3 linked regions of the Caenorhabditis elegans genome follow. The gene in region 2 interacts genetically with the main gene of each other region. Each region holds a gene or a part of one and is shown on either strand. Other genes may lie near its edges.

What was found.
Region 1: of trr-1 (region 2) and lin-25, changing one enhances a phenotype caused by changing the other (phenotypic enhancement), as found in Caenorhabditis elegans (one large-scale study listed by BioGRID).
Region 3: of trr-1 (region 2) and ark-1, changing one enhances a phenotype caused by changing the other (phenotypic enhancement), as found in Caenorhabditis elegans (one large-scale study listed by BioGRID).

What each region holds. Positions count from the first base shown.
Region 1 is NC_003283.11:12,647,260-12,652,502, reverse strand, and holds the start of lin-25 (Protein lin-25), read right to left. Parts: upstream 2,579-5,243; 5' UTR 2,547-2,578; coding exon 2,514-2,546; intron 2,444-2,513; coding exon 2,329-2,443; intron 2,282-2,328; coding exon 2,199-2,281; intron 2,152-2,198; coding exon 2,042-2,151; intron 1,992-2,041; coding exon 1,904-1,991; intron 1-1,903. UniProt on the Caenorhabditis elegans protein: Participates in the inductive signaling pathway downstream of let-60 Ras and the RAF/MAP kinase cascade to regulate specification and differentiation of many cell types. Positively regulates the fate of vulval precursor cells.
Region 2 is NC_003280.10:11,673,405-11,678,647, reverse strand, and holds the start of trr-1 (Transcription-associated protein 1), read left to right. Parts: upstream 1-2,720; 5' UTR 2,721-2,791; coding exon 2,792-2,929; intron 2,930-2,976; coding exon 2,977-3,762; intron 3,763-3,816; coding exon 3,817-4,115; intron 4,116-4,160; coding exon 4,161-4,284; intron 4,285-4,328; coding exon 4,329-5,243. Other genes in the region: C47D12.2 (Dymeclin), read right to left, coding at 1-29, 80-271, 583-699, 750-1,237, 1,300-1,541, 1,589-1,676, 1,735-1,943, 2,000-2,146 and 1 more.
Region 3 is NC_003282.8:12,628,290-12,633,532, forward strand, and holds the start of ark-1 (Ack-related non-receptor tyrosine kinase), read right to left. Parts: upstream 2,734-5,243; 5' UTR 2,678-2,733; coding exon 2,604-2,677; intron 2,492-2,603; coding exon 2,406-2,491; intron 1,980-2,405; coding exon 1,805-1,979; intron 1,186-1,804; coding exon 951-1,185; intron 391-950; coding exon 70-390; intron 1-69. UniProt on the Caenorhabditis elegans protein: Probable tyrosine protein kinase which plays a role in vulva development, probably by acting as a negative regulator of the let-23/EGFR and let-60/ras pathway. Involved in the negative regulation of germline development.

The sequences.
Region 1 (5,243 bases), on a different chromosome or scaffold from region 2:
GAGCGCGCGCTTTACCACTTCTCCAAACAGGCAAGTGGCGGCCGCGGTTCCAAGGAATATGTGAAACCAACCGAGCTGTACGAAGTAAGAAGCTTCCATTACTTTTTCAGATATTTAGTTCTGAAAACTTTGTCAACTCTCCTTATCAACAACTAAATGGTCCTTTTTGTAGTTATTTCTACTGGAAAAAAAGAGTGTGCCTGTAAATAATATCCTGCGTATAAACGTTGTTGTCCAGTGAAAACCTTCGCTTGACTTGAAATTTATCTTGAAAACTACTTTTTTTGAGTGTATTTTTAAACATTCTACAAATTCCACTTAATAGCAGCTCGGGAACTTCTGTGATTCATCGAATAAGCTATTTTCAAAAAAAAATTGGCCCAAAATTTGTTTCTGAAAAACGGCCCCAATCTTGTTTTTTTCCAGTAATAAATGCAATCTGAATTTTTTCGAAATTATTTTTCGCATGGAATGTCCTGTTTTTGGGTTTCAAACGCACTTTTTTGTCAATTTTGCTTTTTAAAAATATGAAGTGTCGTCGAATAAAATGCACGGTACGCAAAAGTACGCAAACACCGACATGTACCGTACTCCGGAATTTTTTCAATTTCGATCGAATTCGATTTGCCAATAACGAAAACGACGAAAACGTTACGTTTGAAGCCGGAAAATGGGATTTTGATACGAAAAATTATTTTAAAAAATAAACTTTTTATATACACTCTTGGAAAAATAAGAACTGTAGTGGTTTTTGAGAAAAAACATTTTAGGCCCAAAATTTAATTTCAAATGTTTCATTTCTGTATCTCGTATCAACATGCATGTACAATTTTCTAGAAATTTCAAGTCAAGGGAAGGTTTTCACTGGACAACAACGTTTATACGCAGGATATTATTTACAGGCACACTCTTTTTTGCCAGTAGAAATAACTACAAAAAGGACCATTTAGTTGTTGATAAGGAGAGTTGACAAAGTTTTCAGAACTAAATATCTGAAAAAGTAATGGAAGCTTCTTACTTCGTACAGCTCGGTTGGTTTCACATATTCCTTGGAACCGCGGCCGCCACTCGCCTGTTTGGAGAAGTGGTAAAGCGCGCGCTCTTCAGTAGAGTCATTGCTGGTTCGAATCTGGATCCATTCAGATTTTTTTTCAAATAGTTTGCACGGGAAAAGTGTTCCTTATCTTAAGCTTAACAAGTTTGCGATTGATTAATTTTTCGCATTCCCTCTGTCCGAAAAGATATGTGGGTATATAGAGCCCTACTTGTCGAGTTTCTTATTATTATGCCAAATCACAAAGTTGACAGGAATGTTTTCAAAAACGACAGATTGAGAATTTTTCTACAATAACTGATCAGTGCCTAATAAGGTTTCAAAATAGTTTTGTTTGGAAAATTTTCATAAATTTCATTTTCCCGTTCTGATATCGTCGGATTCAGTTAAAAACCGCTCAGACAGTAGTATATTTCAAAAGTTGGAAAAAGAACACAGCTATGAAACTTTCATGTTGATTTCAGAGTGAAATTGTAATTATACCTAAAATCTGCTACAAGGTAACTTTCAAATTCCAACTTTTGATATTCTTTTTTTCATTAGGTAGTAAAAAATCGTTAATCGTAGTAAAAGATACGAATCGTAGTAAAAAATCAAATTCGGAAACCGTAGTAAAAAAAACGGCCGTAGTAAAAGATACATTTCGTAGTAAAAAATCGAAATTGGAAAATGTAGTAAAAAATACGGCCGTAGTAAAAGAGTAAACCGTAGTAAAAGAGCAACGTAGTAAAAGATGAGGTAGTAAAAGAGCATTTGCCAATTTTGAACATATATTTTGGTAACCTTCAACATGTAAGCTTTTAACTTTAAACAACATTTATCGCTCGTTAAAAATACTAAAAATCTTACTTGTATCAGTTGCGCGAGGAAGAAAACAGTCGGCTTCATAATCGAAATAAGCTCATCTGCATGCAATTTATCAGAAAATGACTTGATTCTGAAATTAATAAACTTGGCAAAATTTTTCAATTAAAAATGCCAACTCACTGTACATAGTTGACCATTTCCCGGATCAATTCGCATTGCAAACATTTCGAATAAATTCTATCTGTTTTTGTATTTATCACACTGTGGATGACTTGATTCCAGGTGATTGACTGTAAATTTATAATTTTTTGGAATAAAACAAAGAACTACAGAGTACCTTATCTACGACAAGTTTGAGAAGATGGTCCCGGAAAACATCATCGATATATGTTCCATTATAAGCAAACCGAATCAAAATATCTGAATAAAATATATTAATACAATTACAAAAAAGAATTGCAACAAACCACAAAGCTGCTGAGTTGAGATACCGGGAAAGTCAACTGGACGAATGACTGATGATACTTTTTGTCGTTTTTCATTTGAGCAATTGCGGAGTTTGTCAATATATTCAATAACTATCTAAAAAAAAATTAAATACAAAATAAGTTTGTTGAAATTAAAATAAAAATTTATTTAAAAAAAAACTCACTTTTGTTGAACTATCAATTTTGATACTATTCATGATTTAATTGATTTAAATTTGAAGCATTTAAACTGTAACCAAAATATATTCAAACACCGACATTAACCCAATATTCGGTGCAATAGTATAAATGGATGTGAGACGTAGACACGCAATAGAGCGAGGTGGCCGAGTGTTTATTGTCCCCCACTACTTGGGGGACTAGGTACGATGCATTCCTCTTCCATTGTACATTTTCTGACATAGGAGGGATGTCTTCCTTCACTTCTCAGAGTCAATGAAAAATTGGGCGTGGACGGCATTTATTTTCAATGATTCTACACAATTTTCAGATGTAATAATCAAACTGCCACCCCAACAATCTCTTAAGACGATTTAATTCAGCTTCATTCACTTTTCATTTTCAAAAAAAAACTTTAAGCTTGTTTTAATTACTTGTTTATAAGTTACCATGGAAACATTACATTTTCTAAAATGTGCTTTGCACTCAAACTATAGTTTAAGTTTATATATAAACTTGGAAATAACAACTTTCAATATCTTGAGCATGTCTCAAATTATTTCATTCGTAATTTTCACTAGTGTTTTTATCAGACCCAAAGCCACTATTGTAAAAAAAAACTAGGCAAAACTTTCAGCCTTTCAAAGCTGGGTGCATCATTTTCTTCATCGGCCAAAAATCATGTTCTCGGCAGAGAGCAACTTAAGAAACAGGTGGAGGTTAAGTAAAACTTTGAGTGAAAATATATTTTTGAAGATAGATGAAAACTTGAAAATCGAAACACAAATACTCGAGGAACGTAAGAAGAAGGCTTTAAAGCTTCTTATCATAGGTACCTGATTAAAAAAAAAAACATAATCAAAATGTAACCTTTATTATATTTAGGTCCGGGAGAGTCAGGAAAAAGTACAATAGTCAAGCAAGTAAGGTAAATTCAATGAAAACTACATTTTTTCAGTTGCTTCCAAAAATTATCACCTACTCAGCTGATTTTCAAAATAATTAGATAATATATTATCGGTAGTTTGTAATATTGAAATTTTGAGAATTCTTCATTGTGGAGGATACAGTGTTGAAGAAAAAAGAGCTCTAAAACATGGAATTTATATAAATATCTTGGAAGGTATTGATGAGATACACTGGGCAATTATGTGGAGACAATTAATTTACGAAAATCCATCTTCAATTGTAAGTAATTACCGTATTTCCTCTATTAGTTTTGCACCCCTTTGCTCAACTTTGACAACTCATATCTCGTTTTGTTTTAAGCATATAAATAATTAACAAACTACAAACGTTAGAAAACATCTTGCAAAAATTTTATCAGTTGACAACTTTTTTATAAAACAAACGACTACTGAGATATGAGCTGTGAAAGTTGAGCAAAGGGGTGCAAAACTAATAGAGGAAATACGGTAAATGTTTCAAAACTAATTTCCATTATAGGAATGCCTAAATCAAATCCGAATATTTACGAAACAGTTCAATAAAACTGGAGAGACTGAAAATGTTTTGTGCAAAGACATTATAAAGTCTATCCAGATGTACATAAAAGATGAAACAGTTGCCATGATGTTGAGGAATAAAACTGTTTATAATATTGAAGACTCAACAATTCAGCAAGTTAAACGTTGGGTTTTATTCAGTCTAATTATTATTATTTCCAGTTTCATTGAAAACCTTGCAAGAGTTATTGGAAAAGAATACTTGCCAACCGGAGAAGATATATTGAAAACCAGAGTCCCAACCTTGGGAATTGCACAATATGAAGCAAATATAAAACATTTGACTTTCAAGTAACACTTTGTTCAGTTTGTTGTGGTTTTTGGAAGGAAACAATTATTTACAGATTCATTTTTTTCGACATTGGGGGACAACGTGCTCAACGTCGAAAAATTACCCATGTGTTGTGAGATGGGCTGGGCTATGCCACCATCTCTCAATTACAAAGTTCTTTGAGCGCGACGAACACATTTCCATCGTGTTCGCCGTAGCTTAAAACCTTTATGCTCCCTTTATTCTCGCAATTCTCTCCCGATTAGCATCTTTCTAAGCGCCTTCCCATTCAAATTTGCCGCCAACCGGCTGGGTCTCGCCACGCGCACGCGCCGCCGACCGCGGCGCGGCGCAGCTTGCTCATCCTAATTGGCTGGCCTAAATAGTTTCATTCATTCGATTATCAACCGCTCCTTCTGAGCGGTCGTCCCCTTTACCTTTTCCGTTTTATTAATTGATATTTAGTTGTTTTCTCTCCGAAGTATTGATTGCATCGGCAATCACGGGCATTGGGATCAGAGCACAGCCTCTGACCCAATTGCCTAGTTGATTGACCGATTGACAACAACAATACATGAACAGTTCACTCATCATCCGCTGGACTTGATGGTACAATCCACAGCCGCTAATTGATTGTCTTAATTGTTTATTAATGAAGGAGTCTTATAGTCATACAATGTGTTACTCGTTACATCGCTTATCTTTATCCTTCCTCGCTCGGCACTTGACCTTCGCCTCCTCTCTCTAGACGCTCTGGTTTGAACTCGGCTGTGTTTCCCCAACGCACAATTAGCTGAGCGGTCATGTGTTAGACGATTCCCATGCAATTCTTTTTATTACTTCACTATCAGAATATAATCAAGTTTTGAGAGAAGATGCTTTTGTGGTGTGTTTTTTTAAGTTGAGACAATTAAAATATTTATTTGTTATAGAGCCGAATAGAAGAATCACTTCATTTG
Region 2 (5,243 bases):
CCTTCTTCGAGAGCAGTAATGTCGTCATGCTGAAATATTATACTTTTTATTTGGATTTTTGAACAAAATATGAACTTACGAAATTGATCGGCTGTCCATCTGCAACATCATTCTGACTGCTGACTCTCATATGATCCACCATTTTAGCATGCCGTTTTGTTAGAAGATCAAGCAGTGATATGAGTCTTTGGCAAACAATTGGAGCAAGATTTTTGAAGAAAGCTGACATGTTTGCAAGAGCAGCTAAGCAGTTTGTGTGAAGATATCGGTCCTGGAAAAATTTGAGTTTGGTTTAAAAAAAAACAAAATTTTGTATCTTCAGGTAGCAACTGTCGGTTTTTCGCTTTTTCAATTGTTCGATTTTTCGATTTTTAAAAAAGGAGCTTGATATATTGGCCATTATTCTTCTTTTTAGATGAAACTTTTATGTTTGTTCTTATCAATATAAACAAAATTAGATAAAAAATCATATTTTATGGTTAATTTTCTGAACATTTTTTTCGATTTTTCGATTTCCACTGAAAAACGTCAAAAAATCGAAAAAAAAATTGAAAAATGACACCCTTGGTAGCAACAACTAACTCTAGTTTTCAAAGCATTCTTCTGAATTGCTCGAACCAGCACAAGAGTTGTCAAACCTCCGAGAGAGATCTCGCGGACACTGAAATCACTGTCCAGCCAGCCGAGATCCTTGATCATCTGCAAATATATACTTCAATATAATCTTAGCATTTCTAGTGAAAACTCACCGTCTCGTGTATAATCTTGCAGAAAATATCATCTTCACTGAGAATCAAGGCGACAATCAATGCAAGATAAACATGGTGAGAGTTGTTCGATGTCGCGACACCGTCGTGAAGAATTCGAAGAACAGGAACAACTAGATTCTCGAGGTTGATCCGAGACAACACATAGTTCCGGAATCCCGAGTTCGCCTGTAGAAGCATGTAGAGTAGAAGCATCGGAGGTTCCTGGCCAGCGGTAGCACACAATCTTTCGTATAATCCATTATAATCGATTTTGAACGACACAATCTGAGTAGGCAATGTGGATACTTCTTGAGCATTTTGGAAGAGAGCAAGGGTTTCTTTGAATGGATTGGATGAATTGAGAGGTTGATGGCATGAAAGATTGAGGAGAAGCAGGATGCTTAAGTTTCCAAGAGTAAGTGGGGGCTTCTTTTCTTCCTCTGCGGAGTCGATACCAGTTGCCATTTGGACCATTGACCACATTGATGCTTAAAAATCGTGTTTTTTTTTTAATTTAATAAAGAATTAAAAAAGATTTTCAGTGACATACAAGCTAATCCAAAAACAATGCTCTCTTGTGGCTTTTGTACAGTCATGTGATACTCTGAATTGTGGATCAAATAATTGAGAAGAAGAGTTTTAGTGAGCGAAGCTGCGTGTTTCGCACATGATCCATCAATAAAGAATCTGAAGACAATTGAAGTATTCACAATTGATTCATTATATAGTTGAGAGCTCAGGAGAGTTAGGAGACATCGAACTGCTTCGACATGGATTGCCAATGTTGTTTCGCTGAAATTATTTTAATTCAATTTTTTAAAAAATAATTTAAAACTCACTTTACAGAAATATTGATTAAAATCGAAACCAGCTCATACGTGAACTCTTCTGCAGTGTTTTGAAAAACTATCGGGATATATTTTGTCGCTGAAAACGTCAGAATTTGATTATTATTGAATTTTTTTTTTAAATGAAGCTTATTTACCTCCATTATTATTTTCGTTTTCTGATTTCTGTTCGTCATCATCTTCCTCATCCGACGAGGAAGATGTAGACGACGATTCGGTTTCCGTACTCTCATGACTTTTGGCGAAAATCCTCACGAATTCTTTTTCCGTCATACGTTGAGTTAAAAATCTGGCGATGTAACGAAGAATGAGAAGAGCGTTTGATGTTTGCCATAAGTAGATTTTACTGAAATAAGAAAAAGCTTTAATTAAATATAATGATGATTTTTTTTTCCAACTCACTTTTCGCATTGTTCTGATGTTTTTAGTTCTGTGGCTCTGCGAAGGAAAAGTCGAATAAATGCAGCGAAATTTCCTGTTGTTTGTGTATTGTACATTAGACATTGAAGATGATCATCTAAAGCAGATTCCAAAGCGATTCGGGTGTCTCTAAACGATTATAACATTTTTAAAGCTTTTGCCTAATTTTAATCCTTACTCGTCGTCATCATCAAACTTGAGACTGAAAGAGAGAAGTTTGTTCCAAAATGGGTCATAATCGTCGACAGGTTCCAAACCGCTGAGTTTCTTCAGATAAATATTCTCCTGTAAGACCGTTTCCTTGGTTATAACTGATCCCATGTGTCTGAAATTTGTTATTACACTGTTAATAATCATAAAAATAAAAGAAAAAGTCAAGAAAGGGTCAAATATTAATCAGGTCACATCTTTTTTATTCAATAAAATCTCCTCTCTCGTTCGTGGCAATGCACGTGAAATGCGCCAACAACCGCGAGTGCGCCAACACACACACATACGCGTCAGCAGACAATTCGCTCTCGTTTGAAATTTAGTTGTTTCTTTGTTTCTGCTGAAATAATGTCAGTTTTCCGATAATTTCAGCGTTTTCTGACTGATTTTTCTTGTTGCATTCACTTCCTAATAGTTCATTCTACTCCATTCTTCATTTTATAATCTGTTTCCTTCGCAATTTAGTGAATTAAACACGTAAATCTTGTTTCAGATAAATTATTCAAATAGTTGCACAAAGCTCAATAGTTTAGAAGTATCTTCAGTGCTGGTCACTAATACAAAATGGATCCGGCTATGGCTTCTCCAGGCTATCGGTCTGTGCAGTCCGATCGGAGTAATCACCTAACAGAGCTGGAAACGAGAATTCAAAATCTTGCCGATAATTCACAAAGAGATGATGTCAAATTGAAAATGTTACAAGTTAGTTTCAATAATTCGTGTTAAGTAATCAATTTGTTCGGTTGCAGGAGATTTGGAGCACAATCGAAAATCATTTCACACTAAGTTCGCACGAGAAAGTCGTGGAGAGGCTCATTCTCTCGTTCCTACAAGTTTTCTGCAACACAAGTCCACAGTTCATTGCTGAAAACAATACACAACAGCTTCGAAAGTTAATGCTTGAAATCATTCTTCGACTTTCGAACGTAGAAGCCATGAAACATCATAGCAAAGAAATTATCAAGCAGATGATGAGGCTAATCACCGTGGAAAATGAGGAGAATGCCAATTTGGCTATCAAAATTGTCACCGATCAAGGGAGAAGTACCGGCAAAATGCAATATTGCGGAGAGGTTTCACAGATAATGGTCTCCTTCAAAACAATGGTCATTGATCTGACGGCGAGTGGTCGAGCTGGTGATATGTTCAACATAAAAGAGCATAAAGCTCCACCGTCAACTAGCTCCGACGAGCAAGTCATCACTGAATATTTGAAGACTTGCTACTATCAACAAACGGTTCTTCTCAACGGAACGGAAGGAAAACCGCCATTAAAATACAATATGATTCCATCAGCTCATCAGTCAACGAAGGTGCTCCTGGAGGTTCCGTATCTCGTGATTTTCTTCTATCAACATTTCAAAACAGCGATCCAAACCGAAGCGCTTGATTTCATGAGGCTTGGTCTTGATTTTCTAAATGTCAGAGTTCCAGACGAGGATAAACTCAAAACAAATCAAATAATAACCGATGATTTTGTCAGTGCACAGTCCCGATTCCTGTCATTCGTCAACATTATGGCTAAGATTCCAGCGGTAAGTTTCGTTTTTTCAAGTTTTTTTTCTGTAATCCTGATTTTTATTTTTCAGTTTATGGATCTTATCATGCAAAATGGACCGCTTCTAGTGTCGGGAACAATGCAGATGCTCGAGCGGTGCCCGGCTGATCTGATAAGTGTCCGACGAGAAGTTCTGATGGCTTTGAAGTATTTCACATCTGGAGAAATGAAGTCGAAATTCTTTCCAATGCTACCTCGACTCATCGCTGAGGAGGTTGTTCTGGGAACAGGATTCACTGCGATTGAGCATTTGCGAGTTTTCATGTATCAAATGCTAGCAGATCTGTTGCATCACATGCGAAATTCTATAGACTATGAAATGATCACACAGTAAGTTTGAATAAGACTTTCTGATGAAAAATGTTGAAATTTCAGCGTGATTTTCGTATTCTGTCGCACTCTTCACGATCCTAACAACTCTTCTCAAGTCCAGATTATGTCTGCTCGGCTGCTCAACTCACTGGCCGAATCTCTGTGCAAAATGGATTCACATGATACCGTAAGACTTATTCTATCAATAATCGTATCTCACTTCGAAATAAGTTTCAGACTCGTGATCTGCTCATTGAAATCCTGGAGTCGCACGTGGCCAAGCTCAAAACTCTTGCAGTCTATCACATGCCTATTCTCTTCCAACAATACGGAACCGAAATAGACTACGAATACAAAAGTTATGAGAGAGACGCCGAGAAACCTGGAATGAATATCCCAAAGGACACTATACGAGGAGTACCGAAACGAAGAATCCGTCGGCTCTCCATTGATTCAGTTGAAGAGCTGGAATTCCTGGCATCAGAACCATCCACGTCGGAAGATGCAGATGAGAGTGGTGGAGATCCGAACAAGCTTCCTCCGCCAACAAAAGAGGGAAAGAAAACGTCTCCCGAAGCGATTTTAACCGCCATGTCAACGATGACACCTCCTCCATTGGCAATTGTTGAAGCTCGAAATCTTGTGAAGTATATAATGCATACGTGTAAATTCGTGACAGGACAATTGAGAATCGCCCGGCCATCACAGGATATGTATCATTGTTCGAAGGAGCGAGATTTATTCGAACGTCTTCTACGATATGGTGTAATGTGTATGGATGTATTCGTGCTTCCAACAACTCGAAATCAACCACAAATGCATTCTTCAATGCGGACAAAAGATGAGAAAGATGCTCTGGAGTCGTTGGCAAACGTTTTTACAACAATCGACCATGCGATATTCCGGGAAATCTTCGAAAAGTATATGGATTTCTTGATTGAAAGAATTTACAATCGGAACTATCCATTGCAATTGATGGTGAACACCTTCTTGGTTCGAAATGAAGTGCCATTCTTCGCATCTACGATGCTTTCATTCTTGATGTCTCGAATGAAATTGCTGGAAGTTAGCAATGACAAGACGATGCTATATGTGAAGCTCTTCAAAATTATCTTCTCCGCCATCGGAGCCAATGGCTCTGGGCTT
Region 3 (5,243 bases), on a different chromosome or scaffold from region 2:
TGAATAATTGTTCAAAATTGGGGAAAAATTAAAATTTGGTAAATTTCAGCAAATGTTTTTTTGCAATACCTTTAAAAAATTAATACACTCCGGTGCACACCAAGCAATAGGAAGCTTAAGATTCGGTGTAAATTCACTTCGATAATAATCTTCACCAATTCCAAGAGATCTCGATAGTCCAAAATCTGATATTTTCACAAGTTTCGGTGAGAAAACGAGCACATTTCTTGCGGCAAGATCTCGATGAATGAGTCTTTGTAATTCAAGATATGACATTCCCATTGCAATTTGTTCAGCATAATCACATAAAACATGAACTGGAAAACTATCACGGAGAGCCGGTTTGTGAAGGCATTCCAGCAAAGATCCACATGTTGCGAGCTCCGAGACCTGCAAATTTTTTGTTATAATTTTTGAACTTTTAGATAATTCTGAAATGTTCAATTTTTTTCGAAAATTTATGATTTTTTATCATTAAAACTTTCTCACGAGGAGGAGAAGTGCGCAATTTTTGCTGTGAGTTTGACAGTTTCAGGCTAGAATACATCGTTCTGGACCATTTTTTCCGTTTTTTTTTCCTTTTTTTGATGAAAAATGCAAAAAATCAAGCTCTAGGGTTCTATAGAGATTTCTTATTAAAAACAATTTTTAAATACTAATTTTAATTTCAAAAGTCGCATAAAAAATTTCAATTTTTAAAATAATTTTCGGTATTTTTTTTTTCTGTAAAAATGGTCTTTGTTTGTCTTCGTTTAGGCATACGAGAATCTAATATTTATTCTGGGTTTTTCTAGCAAAATCGAAAATTGCATTAAAACTCTATTTTACGATATTTTTTCCATTGTTTTTTGAAATTTTTTTTCGGTTTTATGACAAAAAATTTGAATATACAAAAAATTCTAATATTACCAGATTTGTTCCGGCTTAGATTTTAATTTTTAAATCCTTACCAACATAATTTTTTTCGTATCAAGAACAACTCCATATAGTCTAACAACATGTTCATGTCTCATTCGTGTCATAATTGCAGCTTCTTGTAAAAATGATGATGACGTGGCAAGTAGTTTATCAGATCCAACACATTTTACGGCTACTTGAATGACGTCACTTCCTGCTGAATTCTTCCATCCTGCTTGCCAAACTGACCCGAATTCTCCTTGTCCCAACTCTTTGCAAAGCGTTATTCTGGAAAATTGTAACTTTAGTTTTCAATTAATTTTCTCGAAAAATTAAATCGAGCAATTTTAAAAGAGATTTTTCAATGTTGAAAAAATAATATGATGTAATGTCAAATTTGCAAACACAGTTTTCTTCGATTTTGCAAAATCTCGGAAAGTCGAAACCTCTGTACTTTTTTCTGAAAACAAGGAATTTTTAAATAAATAGTTTGTTTTCTAGGAAACTTGAATTAAAATTTAAAACCTAAAAATAAATAAAATGCAAATTTGCTTGGAAATTTCCGATTTTTCTGATTTTCAATAACGAAAATCAGATTTTTTAAATTTTAGATATTTTTCTTCACTTTTTTGTAGATAACTTATATTTTTATGTGGTGGTTATTCTTGCGAAGAGGAATAAAATTTGCTAAAAATTTTTTATTTTTTAATCTTCGAAAAAAAAAAATTATTTCTTTTGTTTTTTTTTCTGAAAATACCATACTTTTAAAATTAATTTTCTTTCGATTTTTTCAAATTTTTCATTCTGAAAAAATGATCTTTTGCCAAAACATCTTTTTTTCTGGAGTTTTTAAAAAAATTTTTTTTAATTTTCCATTTTGCTCCACGTTTTTCCCAGAAATGCTCACTTTTCAATTGGAATTACATGATGATCATTATCATCTTGATTTGCAACTGAATTCGAAGTTTTTCGATCCAAACTTTCCGCCCTTTTGAATGCTTTTTTCACTTTTCCAAAAATTCCAGACGGAAACATTTTTGTATATTCTTTTCGGAGGCGCTTTTGCTCCGGGCGGCTCATTCCTGAAAAATGTAAGTTTATTTTTCGGATTTTTTTCTGAAATATAATTCTTAATTTCCGATCAATTTTTAATTTAATTTCAGAGAAAAATAAACTAATTTTAAAAAATCTCAAATTAAAAAAAAGAAAACTAAAATAAATGGCCACAAAATGAGCAGTCATACGATTGAAAAATGAGAAAAATAAACACTTGTTTCGATTGAATCGTTGTGTAAATATTGATGGTATTTAGAGGCAGAAAGTAGAAAAAAAAAACAAAACAAATTTAATTATTTTTTGTCGAATATTATTTTTAGAATTTTAAAGAAGTTATTCTGGTTTTTTTTCAGAGATTATTGTTCTATTTTTGAGTGGAAAACTAACAAAACTGTGATTTTTTCGGTATTTTTAAAATAATTATTCATTGAGATTAAAAAAAAAATCCTCACCAACAGACAACAAATCGACTTCTTCGACATATTGTAAATCGGCAGCATTTCGTAGTTTTAGTTTTCGACGGAGATCTGATTCGTAGCTGAAAATTTTATTTTTTAATTACTTGAATCTCGGTTTTTACGCAGAAATTGTTAATTTTTCTTCTGAAAACCCCATTTTTCAGCAAATAATCTTAATTTTCCAGCTCTTACCCTGATAAATCGGCTGCTTGAAGCAGTTTATTGAGCGTCGCATCAGCGGTACCCGCCGTCGGCTCCTCTCGCATTCTTCGAATATTTTTCTTTTTTCGTTGTTTCTACCCCCGGTTGACGTTTGTTTTGCCTGCAATTTTTAGAATTTACAGTCAATTTTACACAATTTAAACGGAAAAATAACAGAATTGAAAGGCGTGGGAGGATGTGTTGACACGTGTTCAGAAAATGAAGAAAAAACAGTTTAAAATAGCAAATACCGTACCCGCCAGTTCTCGAAACGATTTCACGTATTTTAAAGTTTATGCTATGCGCCTTTAAGGAGTACAGTGTTTGATACTTCTGAAATTGCTAGTTTTTTTGAAAACTAATAAATAATTAAGAAAATGGAGCAATTTTTCACTGAAAAATCAATTTCAAAAAAATTAAAAAATTTGAGTTTCAACAAAAATCAATGAAACATTTCTTTGGAAAAAAGATGTTCAAAAAAAGATATTGGATATACATTTCTACATGCAAAGAGAGGAGACCCAGGAACATTGAACAAAAAAAACTTTTGGTCACTCTCACTTCCACTCTCTGCATGTTTAGAATTGCGTGCAATGAACCGGGCAAAAATTCATTTATTTCGACAAATTCGTGTTTGTGCGTGCTTCCCTTTATTTTTCAATTCATTTCCAATACACATTTATGTAGTGTTGAAAACTTACTAAATATGGAAGTTTGTTGCAATAGGAGAATTCAGTATTTTTCGAAAATAGAAATTAAAAAAAAATAGAAAATATTTAAGGCATTTACAGCGAAATACTGCGGAATGTAAATATATTGACGATTCACATTTTTCTGTTAAAAAAATGTATCGAAAAAGTATCGTATTTTATGTTTTTAAAGGCGCACGCAATTCTCCGACTGGGTCTCGCCACGAGAAACAAACGTGTATGGTACAAATTTAGATTTTTCTTTGAAAATTTTCTTGCAATTTCTGCTATTTAGTATTCTCAGCATTTCGAATGATAATCATGAAAATAAATAAAAAATATAAAAATCGGAAAGCGCTACCATAAAATTTTCTAAAATGCTTTCAAATAAAAAACCCGCAAAAACCATTAACTAGACTGATACTATTCTGAATTCGAATTAAACTAGAAAGACGGGAAGTTGAAAAAAAATTTCGAAAAGAATTTATCGCCGCATGGTTCATTAAACAATATCGTAACTTCTCAATTTTCTGAAAACTGTAGTCGAAGGCGCACGGATTTAGCCAGATGGGTCTCGCGGCGAATAAAGTTTTTGGTAGATTCAATTTTTTTCTTTAATTAATTAAACTTAAAATTGTGATAATAACACAACATACATTGATTTTTAAAATATGGATGTGCTCCAAAAGTGCTTCAATAAGTGATATTTATTACCCATTGTTTTTTTTGCGGCGAGACCCATCCGGAAAATTACGTGCGCCTTTAAGCAATATTTTCAGAAAAATGCGAAAGGATTAAAGCATACTACATGGAAACGTAAAAAACAAAGAAAAACTCTAATATTGCATATATCCCGAGAACAATCGAATAAAAAAAGGAGCTCCATTCCGAAAAAATGAAGGAGAAAACGGGAAAGACCATCAATCAAATTGGATGTGGAAACACATGGAGAAGAAAGAAAAAAAAAGAAAAAAGGGCGAATATCTTGTAATAGTAGTACTGGTGGTTGTAGTTGAAGTACACTTTGAAATAGTGTATGACTTCAAGCGAACATGAGGCGCAGACGGTTAGATACAATTAGCTAATGAATGTAAAGTTTCTTTTGCTTTATTGTTACGGAGATTCTAAAGTTTTTGAATTTTTTGCAAGGTTTTAAAAAGGCGCACGAATTCATTCGGATAGGTCTTGCCACGAGATGAAAGAAAAGTTTTGAAAAATCATTTTTCTAAAAAAAATCATAGATGAAATACTGAAAAGAAAATTTCAGAAAAAACTGCACACAAAATTTCGAATAGCGTAACACTGCGAAGCCAGGATATGTTTTTTTTTAATTCTTTTTTATATGAAAATTCAATTTTTCCCAATTTTCAGTTTTTTTTTTCAATTGATGCACCATGGTGTCTACATAGCACATTTCCAAGTTTTTTTTTCATTGATAAGTTCTAAAGTTCAGTGTATTTATAGGTGTCTGTCGGTATCTTTTCTTTCATTTTTTGTTGTTAAAAACCATCATTAAAATTTATATTGCCATGGTTAACTTGATGTAGAACACTTTTAAATACATATGTAGCATGTGTATTATTTTCTTTAATGTTCGTTAGGTTTGAAAAAACACAACTAGAAAAAATTGACCTGAATGTTATTAAATGCTCTTTATATTTGTGACAGGGGGCGGCAAACGATTTATTCCGGCAAATCGGCAAATCGGCAAATTGCCAGAATGGAAAATTTCCGGCAAATCGGCAATTTCCGACAATTTCGCATTTATTTTTTGGAAATTTCAAAAATTCAATTTCAAATGGCAAAATTAAACGCATCCCATGAATGTTCCTACATTTATTTTGAAAAGTAAGCGAATTCTATTTAAATATGTTTTAAAAAAGCGGAAAAAATTCAAAAAAGACTTAGTTTTCAGTGTTTCCGTTTTATAAAAAATCCCTCT